4 linked regions of the Ovis aries genome follow. The protein of the gene in region 2 purifies or fractionates together with the protein of the main gene of each other region. This does not show direct contact. Links are inferred from orthologs where the notes say so. Each region holds a gene or a part of one and is shown on either strand. Other genes may lie near its edges.

Region 1 (5,154 bases), about 170 Mb from region 2:
TTTCTGAAAAATTTGTTCAAAAGTCTAAATTGCAGAAGTGAGAAAATATATATAGTTTTATATATTATAAAGTAGAGAAGAATCCATTCCCTGAAAAGTATAAACAAAAAAATCATAAACATCCTAATTGAGTTTATTTTTCAGGCATTATCCTTGAGAATGTACTTTCTTTTCTTTTTTAAAGTTTTATTTATTTATTTTTGGCTGTGCTGGGTCTTAGCGGCTGCACAGGCTTTTTCTCTAGGTGCGGCAAGTGGGTGCTATTTGCTAGTCACGGTGTACAGGCTCCTCACCGTGGTGGCTCTTGCTGCTGTGGAGGATGGGCCCTAGGGCGCTCAGGCTTCAGTAGCTGCAGCCCGTGGGCTCAGCAGCTGCAGTTCCCAGGCTCTAGAGCACAGGCTCAGTAGTTGTGGGGTATGGGGTCAGCTGCTGCGAGGCATGTGGGATCTTCCCGGATCAGGGATTGAACCTGTGTCTCCTGCACTGGCGGGAGGATTCTTGATCACTGAGCTGCCAGGGAAGCCTGAGAATCCATTTTCGACATTTTACATGCACTTGACTTTTTGTCTGCATTGAAGGCAGCTCTTCGTCTGAGCCACCAAGGAAGCCCCTTTACTTTCTTTGATCACAACAGACACATACTCAGATCTGATGTGTGTCCAACAGAAGCCAGAGATTTGCTGCTTTAGCACACAAAATGATTTCTTTGTAGCCTCTATCGTATGGAGTTTGTTTCAGTCTTGCCCCTCTGATCACTAGTATCAATGCTTTCATTATCCTTTTTTTCTTTTTTTTTTCATTATTCTCTTTTTCATTCATTTTTAGAAAATGAAGGTGAAAGACAATACAGTCCAAATAATGGCCCACTGCCTACAGACTAAGATGTTAATGGAGGTGAAACTGTACTGCTGACTGGCAGGCATGCCGGCACGTGCCAACTTAAAGTATTCCTTTGGCTTGTCAGCTCATGGTGCATTCAGAAGGCGGTTGGGGTTGTCACTGTATAAAATGCAACTTTACCGGGCAAGAGAACATAAATGACCTTGCCTGCCTTGGGCCATCTTGTCTCTCTCCTGGCCTCTCCTTCCACTTCTGAACCCTGGGTTCTGTTCCCTGGGAGTGCTGTGGTCCAACGCCCCAAACTGCAGGAACCACAAGTCCATGCACACACTCACACTCGCACACTCTGCTGAATGACGCGGATCCAGGTGCTCCGGTCATCCCGGGATGCCGTGTGGACCTCGTACATCTCAGGGGGTGCCGCACTGATCAGAAACATCCCTTTCTCCTGGTTAGCGATGTCCCGCACGATGAGATTCTGCAGTGACACCACCGAGGGCTTGTCCTGCCAATTGGGGCACAGGAAGGATTAAAGCTGGGAATCCTGACCCCTGGATATTTGAGTCTTCAGTCCTCCTGGAGTATCCAAAGGATTGAAGAGTCAGCCGAGAATATAAGTTAAGAGCTCAGACTCTGGTGCCAGCCAGAGTGGACTTAGAGAAACGTCTGTGACCTTTGACAATTTAATTAACTTTAAGCTTTACTTTTCTCATCTACAAAAAGAGGATAATCATGTGCCTTCCTAACACGTGTAAAAAAAAGTGGCTGCATATAGTAACAATATGCGTTGGCTCTTCTTATTCCTTCTGATCATATTTATATGCATTGGCTCTTCTTATTTTTCCTGATTATATTACGGCAGTGGTTACAATAATAGCTATTTGATGTTGGAGGATTTCCTGGCCAGGGTAGGAAAGTAAGAAGGGTCTGAAACACTTGTCTATGCTGAGAAAGAAGGTGGAAGGTCTCACCAGGGCAGGAAAGATGTACTTCTGGTCCTTCTCTTGGAGAAACACCAGCACATCTGTCATCAGCAGCATGAGCACATCTGGCAGGGGGATGGAGGCAGGAGGAGAGTCAGCGTTAGAGGATGCGAGCAGCTGTTTCCCTTTCCCCGACCTCTCTCCCTCTGGTTGTTTCCTCCCCCTTCGCAGACCTCCCACCTCTCCCCATTCCTACAGCTCAGAAACGGTGGGGGGCGGGGGGGACACATGTGTCATCAGACAAAACAGTTTCTTGGGCTAGAGATGCCTATAAGCAATCACCCAGTGGCCTTGAATAAAAGCCTCTTTATCCAATGAATGCTCCTTAGCCTGTGGTCTGCCGACACCTAGGTTGTCTGCTATCACGCTTCAGAGGCTCTGTAGATCCTCTAAAGTTCCATAAGCAATTTTTACATATTAATCTATCACACGTGTGTTTTTCTGTGTGAAAGGGTCCAGAATTCTTGTGAGGGTAAAACGACTCCCAGAGCCTTTCAGTTCCATGTTGAACAACTGACATAAGATCTTTTTGGATATTTGGTCTAAGATTCCCCCCATGCCAGCATATTCCCCACTTCTTATTTTGTGCTCCATGGGGAGGGGAACAGTTAGGTTCCTTATTCATTTCTCCCACTGTTGAACAATCCCAATCTCCTTCAACAACAGCAGGCCCTGCTTTCATTTTCCTTTTCTGCCCCACCTTCAAGGCCCTCACATTCTACGGGGTCCTGTGCTTTAAGACTTGGGGGAGACAAAGGTCAACCCATGAAAGTCAGATGTCACAGTCAGGAAAACACATGCATCCTCTGCCCTTGGAGATCTTTCTAAGTTGTGGGCACACAGAAGGGGAGGGCTTCTGCTAAAGGCTTCAGAAATAAAGCTCTTCAGCCTTGCTATTTTTAACCCCCCCATGGTTTATATTCTTAGCTGCTGCGTGGGAGGGATGGGAAGGAGAGAAAGGGATGGAGGAAAGTGGCTGGCAAAGCCTGCAATACTCAAGCCTATGGAGTGGGGACTTCACGACACGGGACAGAGGTGCAGGCAAGCTCTGGCCTCAGGTAGCATTCCTCACACCTAAAGCTGAGGTCTGCGACTCTTCTGCTTTGATTTAGGTAGGCAAGCCTTGCCCAGTATAGTCTGGGAAGAGAGGCTGGGACAGTGCGCCCCGCCCTGAACACACCTTCCCTGCAGTCTTTTCTCTTCTCCACTTGGCCCGCCCTTCCCTGGGCTCCACCCCCTCCAAGGGCCTTCCTCAGCTGTGTTCCCAAAGTGCCTGCCCATTCCCCAGCCCTAGTGGCTGGGACTCCAGCTGGTAGAACCAATTACCAGGGGCTAGTCCTCTAATCCTGGAATTTCTCTGTTTTTCTCATCAAAATCGGTAGCTTTCTGGGCATGCAAGGACCAAAGGAATGAACAAATCCTGACAACGAAGTCCTTGTATCGCCCATGAAATTAAATCCAGAATTCTGACTTTTGTTACAACAGAGCTCACATATTTTCCTCCCACTGGGTCTCACCAGGGCTACATTAAAAGAGGTCCTATGGGCTTGGAGGCTTCTCCCTCTGGCCATGGACTCTTGCCTGGTCTGCCAAGCTGTCCACTGACCTTTGAAGCGCCCAGTCGCAGTCTTCCAGAGCAGGCAGCCATCGTGAATGAGCTTGCGCCGCAGGAGCTCCTCTCGGCCAAAGGGGCCCTTGCCGGGAACCGGGGCCTGGGCCCGAGGGTCCATGCGGTTGTAGATCTCCTGCAGGCGGGCCCCTTTCTCCAGCTCGTGCACATCCTGGTCCACGTTGGACAGCAGCTCCTTCACCAGCCCCAGGGCCGTGGTCAGGTCCTGGCGCTCCTCCTCCATCCCTGACACCGAGGTCGGCGTGAGGAAGGGGTGGCCCAGCCAGCTTCACGCCAGTCCCCAACCCACTGATCTCAATGCCGCCTTCAGAGGCTGCCCAGGGTTCCATATGTGACCCTCTTCCTCCCGGTGGTTGTCCAGGGCCACGCCTCACCCCTGACAGCCCTCTCCCTCCTCCTCCCGCCTGGACTCGCCCTCTCACCGTGGGAATGCTGCAGGATGCGGTTGATGAGCACTGGGTACTTGGTGATGCGCTGAGTCACTAGCAGAATGCACTCTTGTACCCCATGCCGCTTCAGCACCGCCGAGCGGGTCACTTTCTACAAAGCGAGGTCAGGGCTCAGTGCCAGAGGGGCACCCGCGGGGAGGGCACCAGAAAGGACGCTGGACTTGGAGCCTAAGCCCTGGTGCCTGCCTGCACTTGGTCATTTACCTCATGCTGGCTGGCGGGAGGTTAATGACTCTGGAAAATGGGGCCGACAAGGTCACAGGTTTACTGTGAGGACCCAAGGAGCGAGAGCACTCGCTCTACCCCTGGAAAAACGAGCAGCTGTGTCCACTAGGGCTGGGGCACTACAGGAGGCGGAGGGTGGGTCTTGGAGAGGTTTGCTCACCCGGATGAACTGCTGGAAGCGTTTGTCTCGGGCATACAGCTCCTTATAGAGTTTTAAGGCCTTGGTGTGGCGGCTACAGAACTCTGAGTAGGTCTTCCGCATCTGCTCTGCGCTAGGACCTGAGAACTAGAAGTTGGGGGAGCAAGGCTGGGTCAGCATGTCCCCCAAAGTCACCTCTCATCCCCAATGCCCTCTCGCCTCCTGCCAAACAGGCTGGCTTCCTGCCTTTCCAACTCTCTCTGCCCCACCCCCCAGAGTCTGGAGATGAGAAATGCCCACTCTAGTCACACCCCCGCCCAAGACTGCTGCCCAGGGCTCCTGGCTTTTCTCACCTGGCTGATGAGCAGGTCCCCCAAGCGATGGATGACGAAGTTCCGGGTGCTACCAGGGCATAGGGCATGGCGCCGGCGATCCAGCAGCTGGCTGAGGAAGCGCGTGTGGATGTCAGTGAGCTCGTCCACACAGGGGAACAGGCCCTGGACCACTCCTGGCTCCAGCTGCAGCTCTTCCAGCATGCCCGTGCGGAAGAGGCGGGTCATGATCTTCAGTGTCCGCACGTGGTGCAGCTCTGTCTGGATCAGCTCTGTGGGGACGGTGGAACACCCGGCTTGGCCACAACTGGTGGGGCCAAGGCTGGAGACCTCAGGCTTATTAGAGGTTTTCAGTTTCCCTTCCAGGCTAATATTCTGCGTTATGATCTTAGATCATTTTTCTAATCATTTATCTTTATGCCTTGCCATCTCAAGGCAGAATGAGGCTGTGGAGACAGGCAGGGGAAGGGGCTAAGAGGGGCTCACTCTTGCCATCTCAAGGTATAAAGTCAAAAACTATGTGTTCCTTACATGCCTAGACTTCCCACAGTCCCCA
Region 2 (5,944 bases):
TCAGTCACTGTTCTGTTACAGTGTGTCTCCAAGGTGAACATCTCTGGAGATTATTATTCTCAGAAGTCTAAGTCTTAGACTCAAGGACTAAAGCAGCTTGCTCAAAGACACAGCTTTGTCTTGGAATCTGAACTCCAGGTAGGCTGACTGCTGAGCCCACAGCTTTAACTGTCATTCAGTATCATTGTTTTATATGCTGTCAACTTACAGGTTTAAGCTGCTCTCCCACTAGAGACACAGCATTCATTTTGCTGCACTTTAATACCACCATGTTTACTGGTTAAAATACATGAATCCTACCCCCACTGTCTTTCATATTTTTGCCACTCTATTCCAGAGTCTTGTGACATAATAGAATTTATTTCAGTGAGACTATTTACAGACGGAAGATATTGGAGGAAACAATATGTATGTAACATAGCCCCTGCCTTCAAGGAGCTTGCTTTCTGTTTGGGAAAAACCAAAGTACGGAATTTAACCTAGAGCAAGAAAACAGGATGTACTTGCCTAGGTCTAAGTAGGTGAACTTACATACTGGAGACTTTAGAACAAGCTAAAATTGTCTGTATAAAAAAAAGATTTTGTTTGAGGGGTGAGGCCCCCTGACAGTGACAGTATATTGTTACTATAGTGGTTTCATGCATGTCAGAATACTTGCATGTCTTTAATTTGACTGAAAACCATTTACATTTTTAAAAATAACTAAGTGATTTTTTTAGCACATTTTAGTACAGTTACGTTAGGATTATAGGTTTTTACATAAATTGATAATGGGTTTTGTTGTTAAATTCTGGCTTTCTTGTTTATATTATGCTGGATTTTTTTTTTTTTTTTTTTTTTTAGTGTTCTGATAAATCAACTGACTTAAGTGTGTGAGGTAACATTAGCCCTGAAGAACCTATTTAAAAATAACTTGTTTGGGAATATTATTGCAGTAAATAGTATGTTACTTTGTTACCTAAACTTTTCACAATCATTGAGATTGTTTGTCTCCTAAGATCACTTTTGCAGTCTGGTGTTATAGATCACAGAACTCTTTGATGAGAGTGTATGTGTATAGTCAGTGGAAGCAGAGTAGATTAGAAAGAGCATGTGTTTACAATTAGGTACAGCTTTACTAATTTGCCAACTATGGATATAATAATTTCTAAGTCTGTTTTTTCTCTGTACATATGGGAATATAGCAAGGCCATTGTGAATATTAAATGAGAATGTAACATTTAGCACAGGAATAGCTATTATGTTTATTAATAAAAATGCTGGTTGACAGATGAAAACAAAGATTGAGGCGGAATCATAGTATTCTCTTTGTCATTTTTCTGTGGGAAAATAACCCCATCCTTGAATAAAACCAAGAAATGGGGAGGAAATGGAGAAAGCCAATTATAAATTGGTTGTTTTTGACACTTATTTGTAGCTTCAGGATAATTACTTTTATAGGGAGGGAGAAGATTCTTTGCTTTGTGTTAACCCTTTACCTTTTTGGCATATAGATAATTCACTACCAAGGACTTGAAAGAATAGATTTATGTAGCTATTCAACAGATTTTAAGGCTTTGTTCCACATCCAGATGGGAAGACAGTATTATTTCTTTTGTGAAATTCAAGTGATTAGTAGAATTTTACAATTAGAATTTCTCCAATATGGGGTTTTCATTTTTCTCTTTCAAAATATGATTTGGTTGACTGAATTTAACAACTCAAGTTGTTAGTAAATCTTAAATTTCTTTTGTGTAAACTTCTTTACATTCTTGAAAATAACATACATCTAGTAGATTAAAAATGGTCTAGAGGAAATAGGCAGAAAACCTTGGGCTTATGGTATTTATGTTCTCATGAAATGCTCCTCCATCTCTAGTTCTTTCATGGGTTCACTGCATTCTCACTGCAGCTGTCACTGTAGGGTTAAACATTTGCCATATTGCAACATACGAAAGCAGTTAAACTGTTTGGAATTGTTTACTTGCTAAAACCACTGTTAGTCAGCAGAGGCAGTACACCAGATTTCCTTGTGGCTTTTAGTGGAAAATGTTAAAAGCGCACTCATTTTTCAGTTATAGAATTTTTTAGTTTGATCTGGATTAGTCACAGAACTGGCATGAACCTTCTAATTGTGAAGGCTGTCCAAACGCACCGTTTTTTTCTCCTGCTAGAGGAAGTCACATCCGGAGCAGTAGCTCAGCTCTCTGGTAAGTGAAACATGTGAGCATTACTAGGCATTTCACCCTGCGGTTCTGCAGTCCTTGCTCTTCAGAGTGTTGCTCAGTTGGAATGCTTCAATGGGGCCGATCCTGAGGTTCTCTGGTTTTTAAGGACCTACTACTCATTTGGAGGTGTCAGTGGCGGTTTGTAAGATCATATGAGGAACAGGAAAGCATCTGAAATCGACTGAAAAGGAAAACTGTAGCGGTTTTCACAGTGGAAGGAAACTATATTGGCACAGAGGCAGATGACTGAATAAAGTAGTTGGCTCAGAGAAGATGCACAGTCTGCTGTTTTTTCCTCTGAATGAAGACTCTTTGATGGAAGCTGCATTCATGTGGAGATCAAAGAAAACACTGGAATGATAAACTACTGGAGTTTTCTCCCTCTCTTTTTTAAAAATGAAAAGCCTGAAGCCGTAATTTGAGCTCAGACGCCTTCTAATTCCTTCACAGCCTGCCTGTTCCGTTAGGATTCTCCGCTAACACCGCGTCTGCTTGGTGCCTGTGCCCTTTCGCTGAAGCAGCCACAGACCACTGCCTGATGGAGGAGCAGTGAACACTCTGCTTTTCCTGTGCTGTCGATGGGAATAAAGCTAACTGTTTTCCTCTCTTATATGGAATATCTGGACTAATCAAGCCGTATTCTAGTACCAAGAGTCCTATTGTCTCTTGTGGTCTGACTCATTGCATGTAAATGTACTGCAGCTTTGCTATTAATGCAGAGTGTTGTTTTTTTTCTTTCTCAAACACAGAAAGAATTGTCAACCTCTGAGCAACGTTTTGAGAGCTCTAGCTATAGTTTTTTGTTTTTTTTTTTCCTCTGGATAGTATCTGTATTAAACCAGCGAAGCTGAAGAAGTGAAGACAAATTAGAAGTGGAAACCGAATAGTGAGATTTTATATTTTATTTTCAATGATAAGCAAGCCAGCTGCTGGTAACTATGACCTTGCAGGCAGGAGTGGGCATCGCTGTGACCGTCTGTCTCAGCACTTGCTTCTCGTCTTATTCTGTTGTGTGTGGTGCTATCACCCGAACAGTGATCTTTTTATGCAAGTGAATTTCTGTAAAACAGAGTAGTAATATGACTATCTTGGTAGCGGAAAAATAGTTTTAAATGAGCTGATTCCGGACTCAGTTTTAGTTCTTGACATGTTGATGTGAAATTTCTTCTAAGTTTTACAGTTAACTGACAGAAAATAATAGAATTGGGGTTTTTTTTTTTCTTTTTTTAGGGAGTTATGTAGTTATAATTTTAAGCTTTAGTTTTTCTGATAGTGCTTGTTAACTTTAAAAACACCAGCTGTGCTTTTTAGAGGATGATTCTAAGTGCTGTACAGAAGAGGAGGAAAAGCTACTTGTGCTCTTCCAACTGTGACTTTTACCACGTAGCTTAGAATTCAGCTTTTTAAAAGAACGAATGAGTCGAGTGTGTATTGTTGTTTTGGAGGAGGTAGAAGATGAGTCTCCTGCATTCATTTCTAAATTGCCACAGGAAAATAAATCCCTACATTCTCCACCTTCGGGAAATGTATTGGTAAGATACGAGAGTTTATATGTTTACTATCTTTTACTGAACTAGCAGGGTAAATTTTATTTTTTAAGAATAAATGCAAATTAATTTCCGCTAGTTTCATTAAAAACTCAAGTGAAAGCAATATAGGTGTGTGAGTATGATGTAATATTACTTGTGTATAAATGCACACATTTCCTATTTTCACTTTTTCAGATGTTTCGGTAACATTTCAGACTTTATCTCTTAATCTCTTAAAATGAGTTTAAAAAATAATTTGAGGATAGTAGGCTATAGCACCCATGTTTCAGTTTTTACTTTGTGGTTTTAGAAACTAATGTAGCAAGTATGAGGAACTGTATGTTTTAGGAAAGTTGACTGTTGTCAGCAACACCGAGACACAGCCTTCTCTGTCGTGAATTTTATATATTTACATGCAGGGCTGTTACAGAAAAAGAATCAGACTTCATCTTTAATTTTATTTTTAAACCTTATCAATTAACTTTTTGTTTGAGAGTATAATGTGTTACCTTATCAGAGAGGCTATATCGTTGATTAAGAACTTGTTACATTTAGACATGCATGTGTCTGCTTCTTCATGTTACTCAGATTTATAGTAATTTTTGGTCTTTGAATAATAATGATTTTCATCAGCTGTCAGGTTTTCTTTGGATTTTTATCTTTACACATGGAATGCTAACTCATGCAAATTATTCGGGTCCCCGGAACAGAGCTGCTCAAAGAGGCTTCCTCTGTGGGCTCCTTGTCAAATGCCTGTTTGACGAGCTGTGTCCTACAAGTATGTGTTGAGATGTCTCACTTGTATTTATTTGGAAGATACTTTCTTTTTACCATCTGTATAAAAAAAGGTTTCCACTCATATAAAATCTAATTATGGTTATAATACTACCTAATTTTGGTCATGTGGAATTGATTTTTTTTTCAATTAGGCCTACTCTTTTTTCCAGGGATTTCAGAGGAATCTTGTACTTTCATATGATTTGACTTCATGAAACTTGGTTCGTGTCCAAAGCCAAGTGATTTTTGTTGTGATAGGGAAGAAAAATCTTAGATTTAAAAGTTATGTGGAAATAGCTTTAGCATCATCCCTGTGGTGTGATTAATGTTTTTATTACTCTCTTGTATTTTAGCCCTCACTGGTGCAAGCTATATTTAATGGAGATCCTGATGAAGTTCGAGCACTAATATTTAAGAAAGAAGATGTTAACTTTCAGGTAAAACAGTTTCACTGATACCAGCCTTGAAGCGTACTTTGCTAGAGTTGATGATTTTTGTTAAAAGACCTAACATAATTCTGTAAGTTTCTCTAAGCAAAGGTAGAAAGGTCTTGAGGCAAAAAGGAAAGGACTGGACGTGCATATTCAGGGTAATTACTAAAACCTAGGACAAGTAGGAGTCAGTGAAGGATTTCTGTTCCCCCAACCTTTTACTTTGAAATTTTTCACAGAAAAATTGAAAAACTTCTTTGAATAGCCATATAACCTCCAGCATTGATAACATTTGCCATATTTGCTTTCTCTCCAATATTTACACAAGTTATATTTATACTACACATATATTTATTCTTTTTCTGAATCCCATTTGAAAGTAAGTTATAGACATCATGACACTTCACTGTTAAATATTCAGATGAGGATTCTTTATTGTGAACTTAGAATAAGAGACATGCCTTAAATTTATAATATATCTAACTTGGTTCTGAGGTTAAATTGCTTTCTGTAAGTAATCATGGTAAACATTATACACAAAGATGCATCTATTTGGGTATCACAGTAAATAAAAACATTGTTTGAAAGTTCTTCAGACTTTTAAAGATACAGTGGATTTAACATTCAGGACTGATGTGAGGGACAGTTTTGGAGAGTGGCTATGTAGCTAATTCTGTGTATGTTTCTCCAGTGGCAAAACTTTTTAATTTACTAAGCTGAGGTGGGTGAGAATATATAATTAACTATAATAACATCAAATTTTTTACTGTATATATTTTTACTGGAAGTTAATGTTTTCAGTATCTTTTTCATACGTGATTCAGTTCTCTAAATGATGGAGAGTAGGGAGAAGTCGTGATTCATAAGGTCCCTATAGCAACAGCAAAACAGATGACCTGGAATTGATTGGCCAGTTCTAAGAAAGCCGTGTTCTGCCACCTCATCTCCAGCACTCATCTTTCCCCTCTTCTTTTGGACAGTGTATCATGACCACTTGATG
Region 3 (5,154 bases), on a different chromosome or scaffold from region 2:
CCCGCCTGTCTCTGCATCCTGTGTGCCCTGAGGTCCACCCAGGCCGTGTGCACAGGCGGGGCTGTGGGCCTTGTGTGGTCTCCTTAACCCTCGCATGACGTGGGTGGGCTGCTCTGCTTTTGAAACCAGGAGACAGGAGACCCCAGCGCTTGTGGGTGGAGGGTCCAGGAGGGGTGCCGAGGAGCCCTGATGCTGCCTGTGCTGGGTCATCTGGGCTGTGGGAGTGAGCGGCCCCCAGATGGTGTGTCTGCCGCGGTAGGAGTGCCCGGGGAAGAGCAGACGCACCTTGATTCTCACGGGGGGGCTTCCTGGGGCTGTGAGCCTCTGGGGAGAGTGGCGGCTCTGCACGGCTCTCCCGATAGCCCGATAGCCCGAGACCCCCAGGGCCGGCCTTCTGGGGGCTGCAAGCCCTGCGTGGCCAGTGCCAGGCCTGCAGGGAGTTGGTCTAAGCGCTCCTTGGCGCTCCCTAAGGAGGGGAGGGAAAAGCAGAACATGGCACACGTGGTCCCCAAGCCAAGAGCCCAGCGGTGCACACTGGGCCCCAGGAGTCAGCCATGCCGCCCTCCTGCAGGTGACGCGAGGCCAGGGCGGGGGGGTGGTGGCGGGGCAAGGGTCCCCTGGGTCTGTGGCCAGAGGCCTGGGAGAGAGTCCTGAGGGGCCATGCCTGCAGGCCTGACCTGGGCGACAGCAAAGGCAGCTTCCTTGGGGAGAGGGCCGCGGGGCAGGGGGGCGGTGCTTGGGCCCTCCCACATGGTGAGGCTGCATGTGGGTGCAGGTGCGGCTGAGACCGGCACAGCCTCTGCAGGCGGGGTAGCTTCGAAGGGCTGGGGGCAGGGCAGCCCCGGGCCAGCGGCCTCTGCCCCGAGGAGCGAGAGCAGGGGCATGGCCAGCGGCAGGCGGCGGGGTGGAACTCGTGTCCCCTCGTGGATGGCCCTGGACGGCACTTGCCTGGGGCTGTGGTGGGGACCGTAGGGCTGGGCTCTGATGCTAGGTGTGCCCACAGGGAGCTCGGGGCTGACGTGTCCGCGTGCTGCCTGCTGAGCCCACTCAGCCCCGGGGGTGGGCGGACGGGGCGTGCTGCCCGCTGACCTGACCGCTGCCGCCTGTCCCCAGCTGTTCCAGAAGTGTTGCCTGGTCCAGAGGATCCTGGAGGCATGGGAAGCCAACGACCACACTCAGTAAGAGCCCTGGGGCCTGCGTGGGGCTCGGGGGGGGTGCCACGGAGGGTTTGTTTCCGAAGACAGGCCCCACTGCTGGGGGAGCAGCTGTGCTGCTGGCGGGGCTGAGGCGCAGGGCAGGCAGGCGGCGCAGCTGGGCCGCACTCAGGATCCTGCTCCTTGAGGCCTGCTTGCCTGGCTTTGGGGCCCCTCGCCTGCTCAGCAGCGGAGACCCCAGTCCTGTGTTCCACACCGTCTCAGGTCCCCGTGCTGGCCTCCAGCTGTGGTGCTCACAGAAGCCTCAAACCCTGGGCAGAGTGCCCAGGCCAGTCCCTGCCTCCTCCCTGCCCCTCCTGGCCTCTGGTCCCTTTGATCGGCTGGGGCCTCTCTCAAACGAGCAGGTGGTGTCGCCCGCCGCTCAGAGGTCTCGACTGCCTGGGTACGTGGTGTGACTGCAGGGCCCCCTCTGCTCCCACTCTGCCCTCCTAAGAGCTGCTCTGGGCGGGGCTCTCTGCGACCTCAGCTGGTTCATCCTTCCCGTCCTGCTGTGCTGAACCCACAGATCTGCGTCCGTCCTCACGGAGCCCCAGGCACAGCGGGGTCACCCTGGCTCCCGCTGGGCCCGGGTGTGGTGACTCGGGAGGCCTGTGCTGGGTCTCCTCCTGTGTGTCGCCTGTTGGTGCACACGTGTGTGTGCCTGTGTCGAGAGATGGCTCGGAGCTGTTAACCGAGGAGTCTCTGAGCCCCAGGAAGCGGTGGACAGGTGACGCCTCAGCCGAGCTCTGTGTCCTGAGCAGCTTGCTCACAGGCCTCCACCCTCGTGCGGCTTCGCCTCTGGCTGGTTCCTCCCAGTCTCGTGGCCCCTTTCCCCTGCTGGGGGGCCCCCGAGTCAGCTCCCTTGGTGTCCTCTCTGGCTGTGCCTGGGCTGAGCAGAGAACACGGCGCAGAGCAGGAGCCGCCCCTGGGGACCCGAGCCTGCGTCTTCCCGTCCTCTGCTGTCGGCCGCCCAGGGGGCAGATGAGAGGTTGAGGAAGGGCCGTGTGGGCGTGCTGGTGGCCACCAGCCAGGGCAGGGACAGCCACCCCTGCTGCTGCCCACTGCTGGGTCCCCGGTTGGCCCTCAGTCTCCCTGGGTCTTGGGACGCCCTCGGGCAGCTCTCGCGGCCCCGACGCGACCCTGGTGTGCCGGGCCTCCGGCTGTGCAAAGTTGAGTCGGGGGCGCTGGCGCCGAGCACATGGCTCAGCGAGCTCCGCGGGGAGGAGGCCTGTGGGAGGCGGCGGCCGACGCTGCGCCACGCGGGGCCCCGCTGACCTGATGCTCCCTCTCCTAGGGCGGCGGGCGGCATGAGGCGCGGGAACATGGGCCACCTCACCCGGATTGCCAACGCGGTGGTGCAGAGCCTGGAGGGGGGCCCCCTGCAGAGCCAGGTCAGCGAGGCCTTCCGAGGTGAGCGCCTCCAGGCCCGGGCGTCGCTGCCCGCGGTGCCCCCTGCGCTGCGGCCGTCGTCGCGTGGGACAGGCCCTGCTGCTGGACGGTCAGCTCGCCTCCCACGGGGTGACCTGCCCAGTGGGCCTTGGGCCTGAGTCGGTTCCCTGCCGAGCCCTGTGCTGTTAGTAAGAGCAGCCCAGAGCCCTTTGGGGCCCCCTCTCATCGCGGTCTGCGGCCTCTCCACCTGGGGCTGCCGTGTGCCCCTTGTGTATCCCGGACGGCACTCTTCAGCTCCCAGCAGCGCATCGTGGGCTGAGCTGGGGGGGCCTGAGGGGTTCAGATGGGAGAAGGTGGGCAGCCTGGCCTCTCGGGGAGGAGGACAGCACCTCTGAAGCAGTGGGTGCCAGCAGGGGTGAGCACTCGGGGCGCCAGGGGCGAGTGCACACAAGCCGGGCCCGAGGGCGGGATTCTGAGGGCAGTGAGGGGCTGTGGGCGGAGGCTGAGGACAGGCCCGGCCCGGGGCGAGGGGGCGCTGGGGAACGCTGAGCAGGCGCGCACCATCTGGGAGCCCTGGCTGGCTGTGTGTGCCGCCTGGGGCCCCTGAGCCTGCCGAGGCGCGGGAAGCTGCCTTGCCGATGTGCAGCTGGTCGTTCGCGTGCATACGGCCTTGGCGTGTTCCCTGCCGTGCCCCGCCAGACACCTCTGCAGTGGCCGCCGTGGCCCCCACAGCCCAGGGACAGCTGTGAGCTCAGCAGCTGGGGGGGCCTCCGATACCAGCATGGCGCTCAGTCCCTGGTGGGCTGGGTCAGTGTCTCTCATGGAGGCGTGCGCCCCTGACGGCCCTGTGCAGGGGACGGGGAGGGCGTCGGGGCCCGGTGTGCCCGGGAACACTCGCCCACGGGCTCGGGCCTGTGAGGCCAGGACGGGTGCGCGCTGCCGCGGGGTTCCAGAAACCAGGGGCTCAGTGCGCGGCCTTCCCACAGGGCTCCCGGCGGACTGCCGCGGGCGCTGGGAGAGCTTCGTGGAGGAGACGCTGTCGGAGGCCAACCGCAGGAACGCGGTGGACCTGGTGAGCAGGCCTGGCCTCCGGGCAGAGCTCTGCGGGCCCTGCGGTTCCACCCGGCCTGGGCTCACGGGGCTGCCTGTGCAGAGGGCTGGGGCGGCAGGGTGCCCGCTCACGCCTGCCCGCCCTGGCCGTTGCAGGTGGGCACACAGCACCTTCACCCCTCGAGTGAGGACGAGGACATGGAGGGCGTCCTCCCCAGCGGGCTGTCGCTGCAGCAGGTGCGTGCGGCCAGGCCTCCGCGTCCCCACGGCGCCGCGCCCTGCGCGCCGCCAGAGCCGCCAAGGGGGCCCCGGGCACTCTGCACCCATGGGACCCTTGGGGACGTGGTTGGCTCTGTGGGCGTGGCCGCCTTGGGCGCCCACCCAAGCGGGCAGGAGCTGGGAGAAGTCGCTGAGGGCGTCTCCTGAGAGCAGCCGGCCCTGTCGTCCAGGCGTTCTCCGAGTACCAGGTCCAGCAGATGACAGCCACCTTCGTGGACCAGTTTGGCTTCAGCGACGAGGAGTTTGCTGAGCAGGACGACAGTGTCAAGTGAGCCAGCAGCCTCTGCCCGCCTCCCTCGTGCCCGCCGCGTCCTCGGTGCCTGTGGGCGGGAGCTGGGTGCCGCTTGGCCTGACCAGGTCCCTGGCCTGCGGTCAGCACGGCTCAGGCTGTCACACCACCTCCTCAGCTGGACCCACATGCAACCCCAGGGTCTCGAGGTGCCCTCCGGGGAGGGCGGCAGGCGGGTCGCCCCTGGCTGTGAGCCTGCAGTGTGGCGCCCCCGCCCCCACCCCTCAGGTCCAGACGGGGCCACCTCCCGCCCCTTCTGGTGGAGGTCACGGTGTCCCTGCTGTCCTTGCAGCGCCCCATTCGACAGGATCGCAGAGATCAGCTTCAGCGTCGATGCCGATGACGATAGCGTGAGTCCGCGGGGTCTCTCGGAGGCGGCCAGGCTTTGTGGGCGCAAGGCCACGGGGCCCACGTGCACTCTCTCGCAGCCTGGCGCCGCGCTGTTTGAGGCCTGCTGCAGCGACCACATCCAGCCCTTCGACGAGGACGACGATCTCTGGGAGGCAGAGGAGACGCACCGTGCGGCCCGCGTGACCAGAGCCAGGTGGGCCGGGACGCGCCGGCCCCGCCCCACCTCAGCCCCGCCTCAGCCCCGCCCCAGCGCTCGGGGAGGGCAGCTGGCTCCTCTCCCCCCAGGTTCGGGGCCCCCCACGCATCAGAGCGCTGCCTGAAGGACGGCCCAGAGCGCCGAGGCCAGGGTACAGGCGAGGGTGTGGACGCAGCTCAGGCAGGCTCGCCGTGCGAGGGCGGCTCAGAAGGTAGGTGACGGGGCTGTGGGGGGCTTGGTGGAGACGCAGAGACAAAGGGTCTGGTGACCCCACCCTGCAGCAGACGTTTTCAGCCCCTGACAGTCTCTGGGTGGAGCCCAGAGCCACCCTCCGGCCACGCTGTCCTGGCTGGGGTGGGTGTCCCCGGGACTCTGGGGGAGGCACGCCTGCCCCCCTGCTGCGGAGC
Region 4 (5,795 bases), on a different chromosome or scaffold from region 2:
CTGACTCTTTGCGACCCCATGGACTGTAGCCCACCAGGCCCCTCTGTCCATGGACTTCTCCTAGCAAGAAAACTGGAGTGGGAAGCTATTCCCTTCTCCAGCGGATCTTCTCAACTCAGGGATCAAGCCCACATCTCTGATGTTGCAGGCAGATCATTTACCATCTGAGCCCCCAGGGAAGCCTCTGTGGTATAGCAGCAAAGAAAGGAAAAACTAACCTCATGAAGCTTCTGCTCCAATGGGTCTAGAAACAGAAAGCTGCGTTTTCAGTCCTGCTCAAAAGCATCACATTGTATAGCGCACTTTTACTGTCCTGGGGTTGCCTGCAGCAGTTCCCGTGCTCCAGGGCAAGCCTCTCTGGTCCAGCACTACTCACAGAGCACAGCCTTGCTGCTCTAAATCCAAACCATCCTTTCTAAAGTATGGCCAGCCCTGAATTTGCCCTCTGTTGCTCTGAAGTTTTTCCTTTGCTTATCCTCCAAAGCTGCCATGAGTCCCTCCCTCCCATTCTTCCCTGCTTCTCCCCCGCCCACCCAGGTTATCTGTATATAGATCCCTCTCCCTAACCCTCTGCATATCTTTTGAACTTGCTGCAATCTTTTTTGCGGGATCTTGGTTCCCAGATTAGAGATTGAACCTGTGCCCTCAGTAGTCAAAGTGCAGAATCCTAACCACTGAACTGCCAGGGAATTCCCTGGCTTCAATCTTGAAATGAATTCTTCACTAGCTGTAGGGCTTTGGGCAAGGATCAGCGCCTCTCTGAACAGTAGGATCAGGCAAGTAATATCCATCCTTGGTTGGTTGCTGCCACTCTAGAAGCCCAATACCCTTCAGGGCATGGACACAGGTGGTGTCACCATTATCTACAATCACTGGTACTTAACAGATAAGATCTGGAGGTTTAGCTGTTGTTCAGTTGCTGCAGCAAGCCAGGCTTTCCTGTTCTTCACCATCTCCCGGAGCTTTATCAAACTCATGTCCACTGAGTCAGTGATGCAGTCCAACCATTCTCGTCCTCTGTCGTCCCCTTCTTTTCCTGCCCTTAATCTTTCCCAGCATCAGGGTCTTCTCCAATGAGTCGGTTCTTTGCATCGGGTGGCCAAAGTATTGGAGCTTCACCTTCAGCATCAGTCTCTTCCTGGAAACTTAGAGGTGTTAGATTACCCAACTAAGGTCACTCAGCCAATGTGAGTGTAAATTCCTTCTGGCCTCAGTTAATTAACCGGTAAAATGGGGATGATGATTCACCAGCAGTGAAGTCTTTCTGAGTTGGCTTCCAGCTGCAGGTTTGCTGAAGGGGGGAGCTAGGGGACCGACGGGCATGTCTGCACTGGAGACCCAGCTCCCCAGGCACTAGGGGTGTGTGTTAAGTCTCTTCGGTAGTGCCCGACTCTTTGCGACCCTATGGATTGTAGCCTACCAGGGCTGACCGAGTTCAAGCTGGGCTCTCTTCTCCCTGCCATTTGGCCCGGGGGTGGGGGTGGGGTGCTCAGATAATCTGAGTCAGGGAGGTGAAGGGCCAGCTGGGGCCGAGGCAAAGGGGTGCAGAGGGAAGCACTGGCAAGGCAGACCCGGGGCCAAGCCCTGTCACTTTGCTCAGGCCCGGACTCTGGGAGGTAGCTGGGGGAAGCCCCACAGTAAGAGCCTGCCTCCGCTCCGTGAGCCGGAGTGATCATCCCTGAGCAAGCCAGTGCCCCCAGAGACACCTGTCACAGTCTCCCTGCCCGGAGCCCTCGCCAACCCGTACTGAGCCGCGCAGGTCTGTCCTCCGTGTCCCGTGGGTGGAAATGTCACCTGCTCAGAAACACCACCACCACCGCTCTATGGCCTGCTTTGCTTGTGTTGCTCAGGTGGAGTCTGACGTCCGGGACCCTCTGCTCCTGTGTACCCCGGCCGGCGGGGAACAAAGTGCTCACTACCACTACATTTGAAGAAGCAACTTCTGCATAAATCCTTCCGCAAGGCAAAAGGAAGACCACCCCCCAATCCATCCAGTTTTTCTCCCTAGCAGAGGCCGGTGCACAGATAGGGGCACCTAGCACAACTTGTCCTCACATCTCCTGGTACAAACTCCACCTTTGAGACAAGTGACATTGACTGCCAATTTCCCCGCTCCCTCCCCACCTTTATAAAATTCAGCCGTGGAGAATGCGGGCATCGATCCCGCTACCTCTCACATGCTAAGCGAGCGCTCTACCACTTGAGCTAATTCCCCAGCTCCTGGCATACTTCCGCCACCGGGACACATGGTGGCTCACGTCATCACCGGTTTCCTCCGGGCCCTCCGGCCCGCCTGCCCGCGGGTCTCGCTACCCCATTGGTTCTTGTGCAGCTCCCTTCTTGTGCAGACCTACTGCCATGATTGGCTTGGCTCACTTTAGTTTTAAAAAGCATTGGCCATCGGATTGGTGGCCCCAGCCGTCCGTCAAGAGAAGGCCCTGCTGTTGCTATGGCGTAGTTGGGGGGAACCCAGACAAGGTTTCCCTCGGTTTCTGATTTGTTGGCTCCAGACTCCGGGGTCCTAGAGGTTCCGGATCCATCAAGTCCATGGGAAAAGAATGCGCCCCCTCGCCCTTGACGGACGGTGTCCGCGAGCCAATCGGAGTAGGTTCAACGGGGGCCGCAGAGTGATCCAATAGGCGGCAGGGGGCGGGAGAGGAAGGCCAGTGAGCGCGGAGCCGGGGGCGGGGGCAGGGTCGTGATTGGCCGCGAGGCGCTCGGAGGGAGGGCGGGGGGAACTCAAGGCCTGCTTGATACGTCCGCCATTTTGGGCGCTTCGCTGATGGTGTCGGTGAGCGCGTTTCCCGCCTGAGCGCAACTAGCGGCGAGTCGCGGGCACCTCCAGGTAATGAGGAGGGGGGGGCGCGGCGGAGCGGGCCGCAGCGCGGGGTGCGCTGGGTGCGCGGCGCGCGGGCGGCGGCGGCGGGGCTCCTCCGCCCGGCCTCGGCGGCGCGGGGAGGGAGCGTCCCGGCCCCCTCCCCTCCCCCCCGGAATTCGCCTCTCGGCCGCCGGGGAGGCGCGGCGCCCGGGCTCCCTGGCCCGTCCCCGCCCGCGCCTGTCAGCCGCCCGCTCGCCCGCTGCGGGGCCCCTCGCCGAGTCGGGCCGCGGGCCGGGAGGCGAACTTTGCGCCCGGGTTGACGTCCGCGGCCTGGCGCGGCGGGCGGGCGGGCCGCCGGCCGGGCGCGCCCCTCACCCGGCCGGGCCCCGCTCCGCGCCGGCCGGCCCGCCCCGAGCGAGCACCGCCCGCTGCCCGCGGGCCCCGGACAAGTTCTCTGGGCGCGGGCCCCGCAGCGTGTCAAGTTGAGGCGGCGGCGGCTCGCCGGAGACTCCCGAAGAGGCCATTGTTGGACTCGGTTCTCCGGGAAACAAGTTCTGTGGGTTTCTGCTCCCTCGCCGCAGAGTCAGCGGGATACGCCGGCGCCCGGCTCGGAGTGTTTAAAACCTCCTTCCGAGTGATTTTTTTTTTTTTTTAAACTCCAGGGTTGCGACTCCAGCTCAGACCTGGTCGCGAAAGCCTCCCTGGCGAATACGCGCTAGGGTGGGGGGGGTGGTCCTCTCGGCCGCAAGTACCTCCCTCTTAAAGAAGCCCTCTCGCCGCTCCCTTGGAGGGGTTTCCTGCGGCCCGGCTTTCTCTGACCACAACTTGGACTCTTGGTTGGAGGTGAATGGCACGAGTCCTTGGATGCACCTGGGTGTCTTGGCGTCTCACCCTCCGAGCTCCGTGTAATCTCTGTACTTAACCCATTTTCTCTGTGGGTCGGATCGAGCTTTTCTGGGAGCGGCGCTTGGGAGTTGTTTCCTTTTATCGTCACAGCACTTGTGAATGTGGCTGTTTTGTTAACGTGGAGTTGACTGCGATTTTGTCCTCAAGGTCACGTTGTAGGTAGGCAGCAAGTGGGAAAGAGGCTCCGGATTTCCAGCCGCTGGAAGACCCACTGAAGGGATGGTGTTGGAGCTTCTTTTGCTGTCGAGTTAGATGGCGTGGTTTCCAGATCTTGGCTTCACCACTTTCTGGCGCTGTGACCTTGGGCAAGTCCCTCAACCTCTCTGCTTTTTCTGTAATACGGGAATAACAGCAGTGGCTGCCTCAGCAGTCTGTCGGGAGGAAATGAGTTAATATGTGTAAAGCAGCTAGAAACGGTGCCTGGCGTGAGGAATCCGCTTAGTAATTAGTGGCTATTATTAATTTGGATTTGGTTTTTAAATGTTTAGATAGTATTGGGAAGTCCTGGCTTTTCGTGGCTGTCTTTAGAAAGCTCTTGTGTTTTTAAGAGTCTTTCCGGCTGAGAACCACCCAGGAGAGGGTGGCTGAGGATTGATTACGTTTACAGACGTTTTCTGGAGTCATTAGTGGTGATGCCTCAGACTGGCTTGTTGAAGAGATGGTTAAATAAAAGCCCACCAGGAGCTCACGTCAGATTTTGTTCCTCCTGTACTTTTGAATACCGCTTATTGCGTGTGATTGGCCCCCAAATCAGTAGTAACTGGAGAGTTTCTTAGTGTACTCTTGGGTTCTTACTGAGGTTTGAAAGGTTACTGTGTATTGAGATATTTTTCAGTGAAGGTACTTTGGGAAATAACTGTTGTCCTGGGTGGATGCTTTCGAAGTTATTTTGCATTTCAGCTAAGTTTGATCAGAGAGTCTAGAATATCTAACAGAATGCCATCCACTCATGCATCTACTCAGAGTCTATTGATTCCTGCCCTGTGGTCTTCTCCCTGCTGCTTGAAACCAGGCTTGTCCTTCCCCTGGAATTACCTGCTTGGGACCTGGCTTGCTTTGTTGCCCTGGGAAATGTTAATTTGATAGACTCCGTCTTAAGTAGAGATGAACATCTTGCTGGTGTAACTTACTGAACAGGAAGAAGATTGTTTTAGATTAGAAAACTAGCTTTTGTGTAAAGTATAGCAGAACAAAACTTGATGGTTTCAATTAACTGCCTGGCAATTTGAGAATCAGACCCTAACTGGACAGAAAAGGAATAGTGATGAAGTTAAGGCCTGACAGGGTGAGGCTTGTTTAGTCTCTTTGAAATAAATTTTGGCGCTGATGTGGTACAGAGATAAGGTGCTTATTACAGACAAGACATCTTCCTTAAAACAGTATTTGTCAGGATTGGTATTTAGTTTGCTTCTTTGATAAACTTGAATCTTGTGGTTTTATATATTGGATATTTGAGAGGTAGCCTGAGTATATATTTGTCTAAAATTTTACAATGCTTTCTTACTGATATAGAATGGTTAAGAATGGTAGTGACAGTGAAGGTCTTGTAACCATCTGCTCAATTAAAACTCAGTTTATTTACGTACAAAGCACAAGAGGCTGTGGTTGGTTCTCATAAGCCCTGGTGTGGCCAAGTAGAGTTGACTGCTTTTTCTTAGGTGAGCTGGATGGAAAGAATAGACCTGATTTCTTGGCTTTTGGAAGTTTTCTTATTTTTTTCCCTTCTTAAAGGAGCCTCAGATGACCGTTTTTTAATTTACTCTAGAGCAGTAGTTCTCAACTTTGGGGGGCGGATTTTGCCCCCAAGAATCATCTGGTGATATCTGGAGAAGTAAATTTTGCTTGTCACATCTGTGGAGTTGGGCCGTGGCTTCTAGAAGGTAGAGACCAGGGATGCAGCTGGACACCCTGTGATGCACAAGATGGCAGCCTCACCCCTCAGCAGGACGTTAGCCCCCCAGAGGTCAGCGGTGCTGAGGTCGAGAAACCCTGCTCCAGACAGATGGTGAGCTGACCTGCTTTGGGATCATTGGGGATACTTTTCAAGACTGTTCTGTAAATGTGTGATGAG

What was found.
Region 1: the proteins of ANKRD28 (region 2) and ARHGEF2 purify together in Homo sapiens (affinity purification with mass spectrometry; 3 studies listed by BioGRID and IntAct, with this or other methods). This does not show direct contact. The link is inferred for Ovis aries from reciprocal best matches to the Homo sapiens genes ANKRD28 and ARHGEF2.
Region 3: the proteins of ANKRD28 (region 2) and PPP6R2 purify together in Homo sapiens (co-immunoprecipitation; 4 studies listed by BioGRID and IntAct, counting the BioPlex papers as one, with this or other methods). This does not show direct contact. The link is inferred for Ovis aries from reciprocal best matches to the Homo sapiens genes ANKRD28 and PPP6R2.
Region 4: the proteins of ANKRD28 (region 2) and PPP6R3 purify together in Homo sapiens (co-immunoprecipitation; 3 studies listed by BioGRID and IntAct, with this or other methods). This does not show direct contact. The link is inferred for Ovis aries from reciprocal best matches to the Homo sapiens genes ANKRD28 and PPP6R3.

Annotation. Positions count from the first base shown.
Region 1 is NC_056054.1:105,989,274-105,994,427, forward strand, and holds part of ARHGEF2 (rho guanine nucleotide exchange factor 2), read right to left. Parts: intron 4,871-5,154; coding exon 4,620-4,870; intron 4,414-4,619; coding exon 4,288-4,413; intron 3,994-4,287; coding exon 3,876-3,993; intron 3,679-3,875; coding exon 3,430-3,678; intron 1,889-3,429; coding exon 1,812-1,888; intron 1,346-1,811; coding exon 1,176-1,345; intron 1-1,175. UniProt on the Homo sapiens protein: Activates Rho-GTPases by promoting the exchange of GDP for GTP.
Region 2 is NC_056054.1:273,858,815-273,864,758, reverse strand, and holds the start of ANKRD28 (serine/threonine-protein phosphatase 6 regulatory ankyrin repeat subunit A), read left to right. Parts: upstream 1-2,191; 5' UTR 2,192-3,622; coding exon 3,623-3,739; intron 3,740-4,866; coding exon 4,867-4,950; intron 4,951-5,944. UniProt on the Homo sapiens protein: Regulatory subunit of protein phosphatase 6 (PP6) that may be involved in the recognition of phosphoprotein substrates. Involved in the PP6-mediated dephosphorylation of NFKBIE opposing its degradation in response to TNF-alpha.
Region 3 is NC_056056.1:225,668,945-225,674,098, forward strand, and holds part of PPP6R2 (serine/threonine-protein phosphatase 6 regulatory subunit 2), read left to right. Parts: intron 1-1,113; coding exon 1,114-1,178; intron 1,179-2,487; coding exon 2,488-2,603; intron 2,604-3,568; coding exon 3,569-3,654; intron 3,655-3,788; coding exon 3,789-3,869; intron 3,870-4,081; coding exon 4,082-4,179; intron 4,180-4,492; coding exon 4,493-4,550; intron 4,551-4,628; coding exon 4,629-4,744; intron 4,745-4,836; coding exon 4,837-4,958; intron 4,959-5,154. UniProt on the Homo sapiens protein: Regulatory subunit of protein phosphatase 6 (PP6). May function as a scaffolding PP6 subunit. Involved in the PP6-mediated dephosphorylation of NFKBIE opposing its degradation in response to TNF-alpha.
Region 4 is NC_056074.1:42,325,521-42,331,315, forward strand, and holds the start of PPP6R3 (serine/threonine-protein phosphatase 6 regulatory subunit 3), read left to right. Parts: upstream 1-2,454; 5' UTR 2,455-2,604; intron 2,605-2,769; exon of another isoform or gene 2,770-2,845; intron 2,846-3,300; exon of another isoform or gene 3,301-5,795.